Linked DNA regions of Xenopus tropicalis. Each later gene encodes a partner of the first gene's protein in a complex. Links are inferred from orthologs where the notes say so. Each region holds a gene or a part of one and is shown in the gene's direction. Other genes may lie near its edges.

Region 1 (4,337 bases):
TGAAAGCAGTTCTAATGTGTAGCGCTGGCTGAAAGCTCAGACTCAGGCACACTTTACTGCTGCGCTGCAAGTTGGAGTGATATCCCCCCCCCCTCACCCCCAGCAGCCAATCAGCAGAACAATGGGAAGGGAGCAAGATAGCAGCTCCCAGTAGGTATCAGAATAGCACTCAATAGTAAGAAATCCAAGTCCGGCTTGGGACTCCTCCAGTTACATGGGAGTAGGAGAAACAATAGGTTAGCTGAAAGCAGTTCTAATGTGTAACGCTGGCTGAAAGCTCAGACTCAGGCACACTTTACTGCTGCGCTGCAAGTTGGAGTGATATCCCCCCCCCTCACCCCCAGCAGCCGATCAGCAGAACAATGGGAAGGGAGCAAGATAGCAGCTCCCAGTAGGTATCAGAATAGCACTCAATAGTAAGAAATCCAAGTCCGGCTTGGGACTCCTCCAGTTACATGGGAGTAGGAGAAACAATAGGTTAGCTGAAAGCAGTTCTAATGTGTAGCGCTGGCTGAAAGCTCAGACTCAGGCACACTTTACTGCTGCGCTGCAAGTTGGAGTGATATCCCCCCTCACCCCCAGCAGCCGATCAGCAGAACAATGGGAAGGGAGCAAGATAGCAGCTCCCAGTAGGTATCAGAATAGCACTCAATAGTAAGAAATCCAAGTCCGGCTTGGGACTCCTCCAGTTACATGGGAGTAGGAGAAACAATAGGTTAGCTGAAAGCAGTTCTAATGTGTAGCGCCGGCTGAAAGCTCAGACTCAGGCACACTTTACTGCTGCACTGCAAGTTGGAGTGATATCCCCCCCCTCCCAGCAGCCGATCAGCAGAACAATGGGAAGGGAGCAAGATAGCAGCTCCCAGTAGGTATCAGAATAGCACTCAATAGTAAGAAATCCAAGTCCGGATTGGGACTCCTCCAGTTACATGGGAGTAGGAGAAACAATAGGTTAGCTGAAAGCAGTTCTAATGTGTAGCGCTGGCTGAAAGCTCAGACTCAGGCACAAGGCACTGAGATGGCGCCTACACACCAATATTACAGCTACAAATACATTTGTTGGTTGAAGAATAAAATGTTAAATGGCAGAGGGAATTACTCGCTGTGTAACCCACACATATTATGACAGAAGTTTGTGCTTTCCTGCCATATGCCCAGTCACTGGCTGGGGACACCCTAAGTACCTTTCCAACTTACCGCTTGGCCCTGACTAGATTCCACCAAGGACCACAATTCCCAGCATGCCCGGCCCTACCGTAAAATAAGGAGGCGAATACAATCTCACGCATTATCTGCCCGTACGTAAGATGGCGTCCGGACTCGTAGCTAAAGTGCGACACTGTATGGGCACGCCGTACTAGAAGTCGTGCGTCTCTCCGCTTGTTTGCCCATATAAAACATGGCCGCAGAGTGACAGCACATGGTGTGTGTCATTGCATTGCAGCTCACTGATTGGTGGGTTACTGCAGCCCTAGCGATGGCCGCGCATTTCGTCATTTGTCCGCATGCGCTGTGAGTTTGGGGAGCAGTGACAGTCGGGCCGGCATGGAGGGGAGCGGGGAGAGCGGCCACAAGCAGGGTAAGTGATTGGGGGTCTCTCCCTCAGCGGGGCAGGAGTGTGCCAGTTACCCCACCTAGGGCAGGAGTGTGCCAGTTACCCCACCTAGGGCAGGAGTGTGCCAGTTACCCCACCTAGGGCAGGAGTGTGCCAGTTACCCCACCTAGGGCAGGAGTGTGCCAGTTACCCCACCTAGGGCAGGAGTGTGCCAGTTACCCCACCTAGGGCAGGAGTGTGCCAGTTACCCCACCTAGGGCAGGAGTGTATCAGTCTTACCTCCATGGGGCAGCAAAGTGCCTGTTGCCCCTCCCTGTGACAGACATAGGCTGTTTGCCCCCAACCTTGGCCTAGCAGGTGCCAGTTACCCTGCCAGTGATAACCATATGCTATTTACCCCTCCCAGGGCAGGAAGAGTCCACTTACCCTTCCCCAGGGCAGATGTTACATATATGCGCCATGTTACCCCTCTCTGCCATTGCCTTTACCTGAGTATGGCCCCTGTACCCCAACTCCTGAGTATGGGCCCCTGTACCCCAACCCCTGAGTATGGGCCCCTGTACCCCAACTCCTGAGTATGGGCCCCTGTACCCCGACCCCTGAGTATGGGCCCCTGTACCCCGACCCCTGAGTATGGGCCCCTGTCCCCCGACCCCTGAGTATGGGCCCCTGTCCCCCGACCCCTGAGTATGGGCCCCTGTCCCCCGACCCCTGAGTATGGGCCCCTGTCCCCCGACCCCTGAGTATGGGCCCCTGTCCCCCGACCCCTGAGTATGGGCCCCTGTCCCCCGACCCCTGAGTATGGGCCCCTGTCCCCCGACCCCTGAGCCCCCAGTCTGTCCCAGCACTTACTGGTGCCTCACTGTATGTTATTGCCCCTTAGCAGGGTAATTACTGATTCATCATCCCACTGGCCTGCCTGTCTGTACAGCACCCACAGGGCTGTGCCAGGGAAGCCATGCTGCCCCTCCTGCCCGGTGTAAGGGCTTTAGTAGGATAACTCCCAGCACCCACAGGGCTGTGCCACGCAGACCTTCCCCAATAACTGAGCAGGGAGTGCAGCTCAGAGCCTGCTGGGAGTTGTTTCTCTATAAACTATGGGTGATTGGGTCACAATGGCGCAGAGATATCTCTGTATCTGACCCACTGGGCTTTAGAAATTTTCTAACAGGCCATAGAGGCCCTTTACTGATCAGCTGTGCCCTGTTGTTTGGCTGTAACTCCCAGCACCCAGCTGCCAGGGAGGGGTTGGCAGGGAATGTAGTTCAGCAGAATGGAGAAGGTCTCAGACTGGATATAGTAAGTCTGAGCTGGGGCTGCCATGGCGTCTCGGTGTTTGCTGGGCTGAGGATGCCGGGCTGAGGATGCCGGGCTGAGGATGCCGGGCTGAGGATGCCGGGCTGAGGATGCTGGGAGCTGCAGTTATAAGCACTAGTTTCCCCATGGGGGGGGGGGGGAAGGTCTGGTCTGCCATAAAAGCATTAGGGCTCCTTTCTAAATGGGGTGGAGTTTGGGGTGTGGGCGTGGCCATGCGGGTGCCATTTAGATTTACCCCTGTTGGCGGGTAGATGTGATGTTTCTCCATTTCTCCTACAGGTGGCGGTAAAGTAAAGAAGCCAGAGTCTCACCATGCCAAGGTACGGTGCCCTGCAGGGCGTGTTGGTCACTGTGTGCCCCTCTGTGCCACCCTCACCCTGATGGGAGGGCTTGGGCATTCAGGGCGTTGCCCTATTGTAATGCCATTGGGTTACTCATAGGTCTCTTACAGGGGAGCTGATCCATTGGGTACCCTATAGATTAGTACCAGGGGGCCCCCAGCGTGGGGAGTGTAGGCGGGGCTTGGCATCTCCAGAACCTTCCCAACCACCACTGATTGCAATGAGCTGTTGGTACAGGAGCTGTGCGGGCACCTATATACACAGCATGTGTGCCAGGATGCCCAGTCTGGCTCATACTTGGGGGGGGGGGGTAGTGTGCCCCCCAGTACTGATACTGTGTCTCTGGCAGGAGCTGTGTGGGCACCTATATACACAGCATGTGTGCCAGGATGCCCAGGGCCCTCTAGTCTGGCTCATACTTTGGGGGCTGTGTGCCCCCCAGTGCTAATACTGTGTCTCTGGCAGGAGCTGAGTGGGCACCTATATACACAGCATGTGTGCCAGGATGCCCAGTCTGGCTCATACTTGGGGGGGGGTAGTGTGCCCCCCAGTACTGATACTGTGTCTCTGGCAGGAGCTGTGTGGGCACCTATATACATAGCATGTGTGCCAGGATGCCCAGGGCCCTCTAGTCTGGCTCATACTTGGGGGGGGGGGGGGGTAGTGTGCCCCCCAGTGCTGATACTGTGTCTCTGGCAGGAGCTGAGTGGGCACCTATATACATAGCATGTGTGCCAGGATGCCCAGTCTGGCTCATACTTGGGGGGGGGGGGTAGTGTGCCCCCCAGTACTGATACTGTGTCTCTGGCAGGAGCTGTGGGGAGCGTGGGGAGTGTAGGCGGGGCTTGGCATCTCCAGAACCTTCCCAACCACCACTGATTGCAATGAGCTGTTGGTACAGGAGCTGTGCGGGCACCTATATACACAGCATGTGTGCCAGGATGCCCAGGGCCCTCTAGTCTGGCTCATACTTGGGGGTGGGGGGGGGTAGTGTGCCCCCCAGTGCTGATACTGTGTCTCTGGCAGGAGCTGAGTGGGCACCTATATACACAGCATGTGTGCCAGGATGCCCAGTCTGGCTCATACTTGGGGGGGGGGGTAGTGTGCCCCCCAGTACTGATACT
Region 2 (4,463 bases), on another chromosome or scaffold:
GTGTGTAACTGTGTGGGTGAGTGTGTAACTGTGTGGGTGAGTGTGTAACTGTGTGGGTGAGTGTGTAACTGTGTGGGTGAGTGTGTAACTGTGTGGGTGAGTGTGTAACTGTGTGGGTGAGTGTGTAACTGTGTGGGTGAGTGTGTAACTGTGTGGGTGAGTGTGTAACTGTGCGTATATAGTGAGGCTGCCGCACTCCCCAGCCGACACAAGTGCATGGGTTTGGCTAGTACTATGCAGCCGGCTAGCAGCTCCCATATCCCCCAGCCTAACATGGGCTCACTAGCAGCAATGGCTGGGCGCTCAGGGGCAAGGGGTGCTGGTCCCCCCAAATGGAAAAGGGTGTATATCATTAATTAGGATGTCTCAGGCCTCTGCTGAACTGCATCTCCCACTATCCCACTGATGGCCTTTAGCTGCCATTGCATGTATGTATATCTTTATTTATAAAGTGCTACTTATGTACGCAGCGCTGTACAGTAGAATACATTAATACAAACGGGGTTATTAAAATAATAATAGATAAATACAAAGTATAACAATAAATACAGATAAATACAAGATACAGTTGCAATAAGTTAAGAGTCAAAGACACAGAGGATGGAGGTCCCTGCCCTGCAGAGCTTACAATCTATATATCCATTAAGGTAGTGGGAGTTGCTGAAGGGCCCCAGGTAACAGCTGAACCCTTACACAGAATGCTTTGCCTTTGCTGCTAGTATCTGTTCCTATCCCACCCTAAACCCAAGCCAGTGGGTGAATATCACACACACACATTTATCTATCTATTTTATATATATCTTTATACACTACAGGGATCCCCCCATCAACACATACCCCTATGAGCCATTTGCCTGCCTGTAACCCCACTGACAAATACCCCAAAAGATTATAACCAACAAGGGACATCTGTGGCTCTAGTTATTGCAGAACTACAGATCCCAGAATTCCACGCCAGCAGATGCCCAAGCCCCCGATCACGGGTATATCTGACCGTATCACCATACTTACATCCTGGAAGGGAACACCTCGATCCTGTCCTTGCCCGACATCTTGACCTGCGATCTGCTTCTCCCCTCACTGACACTCGGATTCCTGCGGCAGAACCAAGAAAGCGAGAGATTGTCACGTGATCCAGGAAGGGAGGGCGTGGTTCTGTCACCTGAACATCTCTCGTCATGTGATCCGCAGCAGACGGAAAAATGCTGCGCCTGCGCACGAAGAGCGTTTTGAACTGTATTAGCTTGTCAGACGTTTTATGGGTTTCTGCACCCACATCGGAATATTTTATTCGTATTCCTTTTTTAATATGATATGAGTTACACGAAACAACATTTTAAAGCGATAATGTTCCATCTTCAATATGGCGCCCTGTAACCTCCTAACCCCGTAATGGTAGCACCGACTTCCGCTTCCGGTGTCAGCGCTGTAGTTGTGGGGTTGCGCATGCGTGTTGTTCTTTGCCGGAACGCATGCTGATGAAATAGTGCGGCGTGAGCTGAAGGAGCCCGCCCGGTGCCAACGTTCTGTTTGATCGTAGGGAACATCAGCCAAGTAAGGCTCCGACTCATGTATCTGTTCTAATAGCCGCCTTGGCCGCTCTGCTGTGGAGCTTTAGCGGCGTGGAATCGCCCTTCTATAACTATCTGTACAGGCTAGCGCGGGACACTGGGAGTTGTGGTTCTACTGTAGTTGGATGGGAATTCCCTGCAGATTCCTGTAAAACGTGTTAAAGCGATCTACCCACCCTTATACAAACGTGCTATGGCTGCTGTATATGTACGGTGGGTAACATCTCGCCTTCTAGCTGTCCCAGAACCATCTCCCTGCTGGGGCCTTTGTTAAAGGGGAATTCTCCTTAAAAAAGAAAGTGTGTTTTCTATAATGAAAGATAATGTTCTGAGTAACTTAGTTTACATTCATTGCACATTGTCAGGAAACTTGAACTTATTGGGACATGTAACGGGAATTAAAGCAGTGTTTAGCCTTTACTGTTCTCTGGTTCTGACTGTAGGAACATTGTAGCAGAATTCAGTTCTCCTCTAGATTTGTTTACCTGTTGGCTTGTGCTACATTGTTTCAGGAGTCAGAGCCAGCAGTGCAGATTATATTGCTTTCAACCTGCTGACAGCCAGCTGTTGTTGAATCTGCAGCCCTCAGCAGTTGGTGGATGCTGGCACTTGAAGTACACAGAGGCCCAAACATCCCCAATAAATAGTAACTGGCTATTACAGGGGTCCCCAACCTTTCTTACTCGTGAGCCACAGTCAAATGTAAAAAGACTTGGAGAGCAACACAAGCACCATAAAAGTTCACGGAGGAGCCAAATAAGGGCCAAAACGTTAGTGGCCGATTGAACGATCTTTCATGCGACCAAAAGATCTGAAATCGCCACGTGTGTGGCCACCTTAAGAGGAACTCCATCCAAACACAATTTAATCCTTTTGAAAAGTAAACCTAATTTTAAGCAACTTTGCAATATACATCAATTAAAAAAATATGCAGCCTTTGGAACCGTTACCTAAGCCTGGCCCCCTGTTCTCCTGCTGATCTGGCTGGCAAAATGTAACCGTAGTCAACTGTTCTCAGCCTGCAGCCTCCAAATCCCACAATTCCCTGCACATGTGATGTCAGTAAGGAAAGGAACATCGTGATGCAATGCATTGTGGGTTAGTTCCTGCATGCTGTCTGTAAGCGGTGGAGAAGTTGTTACAATTTGTAACATCAGTGTTTTAGACTTTCCTCCACACTCAGGATTTGAAATGATGCAGAAAGAGAAGAAATGTTTTGCAGCATATAAAAATGGTATTTATTCATACTTTTTGAAGGAACAGATGACAGTGATAGGTATATTAGGGGTTTCTGTGTTGCGTGGGGCTTTTTAACAGATTTTGGTTTGGAAGCCAGAGTCCCCCTTTAATTGCATAAATAAAGCAAATTTAATTGTACATAGCAGTTCTGCTATGTCTTTATCAAACATGTTCATGATTTTAAAGTTTCGATTAAAAGCAGTTTCTCTCTGTCACTTGCTATTCCATGCTAAATCCCTTTAAAGGGAATTGGTCATTCTTTTGTCAAAAGTCTCTGGTCAGCTAAAAAAAAACTGCAGAGCTGCTCTGGTACACAACTAAATCTGCATGTAGCCGGTTACAGGTTTGGACCTTAGTCTGTATCAGCCTTTGAGTCGGTCCAGTTCTGTGGTTCCATCATATTGCATGGATTACATGTGATTTCTGTAGGGCTGTTTAAAGTAATAATATATTCCTGCTGGGATTGTATCCGCATGGTCTAAAATGCAACTGAAGCACAGGTGGAGGGGCCAAACTGTCAGGTTATATGCATGGGCAGCTTTAATAAGGCATGTCCTGCCTGACCAGACTGATCAGAGGGTTGGTCAGGGTAATGGCTACAGAAGATGATGATGACGAATAATAGAGTACCTGCATGTCAAGCACCAAGAATAGATTGCAAGCTGAATGAGACAGGGTTTAAATGTTACTGGTTCTCTTCGCAGGATGCCTGCGTTAAGCTGTAGATTTTACCAACACAAGTTCCCGGAAGTGGACGATGTTGTCATGGTGAACGTCCGGTCCATAGCCGAGATGGGGGCTTACGTCAGCCTCTTGGAATATAACAACATTGAGGGCATGATCCTGCTCAGCGAGCTGTCTAGGAGGCGCATCCGATCTATCAACAAACTTATTAGAATTGGCAGGAACGAGTGCGTTGTGGTGATCAGGGTGGATAAAGATAAAGGTAAGCAGTCTAAAATAGCAGTCAATGCTCCTTAAAGGGATAGTGACATGTTCTAGGTTTTAACAAACACTGTCCCTATGCTTACAAAAATGCCCCCACCCCAGTTGGTTACCTTTTTTTGTCACTAAACTGCTTTGCACAAGGCTGGGATGTTAGTGCTGGGGGGGAAAGTCCTGCCAGGCTGGAGAACAAATGGGGGTACTTTTGAAATGGATGATTAAACAGGGTATGTTTTTATAGGCATAGTGACACATTCCCATTAATACCTGCTGCATGTTGCTGTCCCTTTAAACTTGGGGTTCTACCACCAATATTGCTTCAAGCTACACTGGCAAGTTCCACTCTGAGGTTGGAATCATCAGTTTGGCATAATACATAGCACCATGTTCCTCTGTAAGGGAAGGCCAACCCCATGCCATCCACAGGTTTACTTTCAAGTGCTGCCCTCTTACTGTCCTGGAGTAGTACCTGCACATTCCTTCTTGTCTCTTTGCTGAGGGAAAGTTACAAACTACTGGCGAGCTCCAGTCCAGATGTAACAGTAACTTTCAAAATGTGTTAAGTATCTGATTGAGCTTTAACCTGAGCTCACTTAGCAATATAAGAGCAGCATTTGAATTTTTGAAACATGCACCATTCCCGGTGGGGGAAGAACTACTGACAGTCTGCAAGGGTACTGGTGACTATTTTTGACAAAACCTTTGATT

What was found.
Region 2: the proteins of eif2b4 (region 1) and eif2s1 are in contact, whole or in part, in a cryo-EM structure (PDB 6O81), measured with the Homo sapiens proteins. The link is inferred for Xenopus tropicalis from reciprocal best matches to the Homo sapiens genes EIF2B4 and EIF2S1. Residues at the interface, in NP_001029288.1 of Homo sapiens: Asn245, Glu246, Glu247, Arg250, Thr285, Ser520, Ser521, Asp522; in NP_004085.1 of Homo sapiens: Met30, Tyr33, Met45, Arg55, Arg57, Arg75, Glu79, Lys80, Tyr82.

Annotation. Positions count from the first base shown.
Region 1 is NC_030681.2:161,940,787-161,945,123, reverse strand, and holds the start of eif2b4 (translation initiation factor eIF-2B subunit delta), read left to right. Parts: upstream 1-1,509; 5' UTR 1,510-1,545; coding exon 1,546-1,579; intron 1,580-3,151; coding exon 3,152-3,192; intron 3,193-4,337. UniProt on the Homo sapiens protein: Acts as a component of the translation initiation factor 2B (eIF2B) complex, which catalyzes the exchange of GDP for GTP on eukaryotic initiation factor 2 (eIF2) gamma subunit.
Region 2 is NC_030684.2:119,231,242-119,235,704, reverse strand, and holds the start of eif2s1 (eukaryotic translation initiation factor 2 subunit 1), read left to right. Parts: upstream 1-1,469; 5' UTR 1,470-1,554; intron 1,555-3,511; exon of another isoform or gene 3,512-3,514; 5' UTR 3,515-3,515; coding exon 3,516-3,756; intron 3,757-4,463. Other genes in the region: atp6v1d (V-type proton ATPase subunit D), read right to left, coding at 1,012-1,052. UniProt on the Homo sapiens protein: Member of the eIF2 complex that functions in the early steps of protein synthesis by forming a ternary complex with GTP and initiator tRNA. This complex binds to a 40S ribosomal subunit, followed by mRNA binding to form a 43S pre-initiation complex (43S PIC).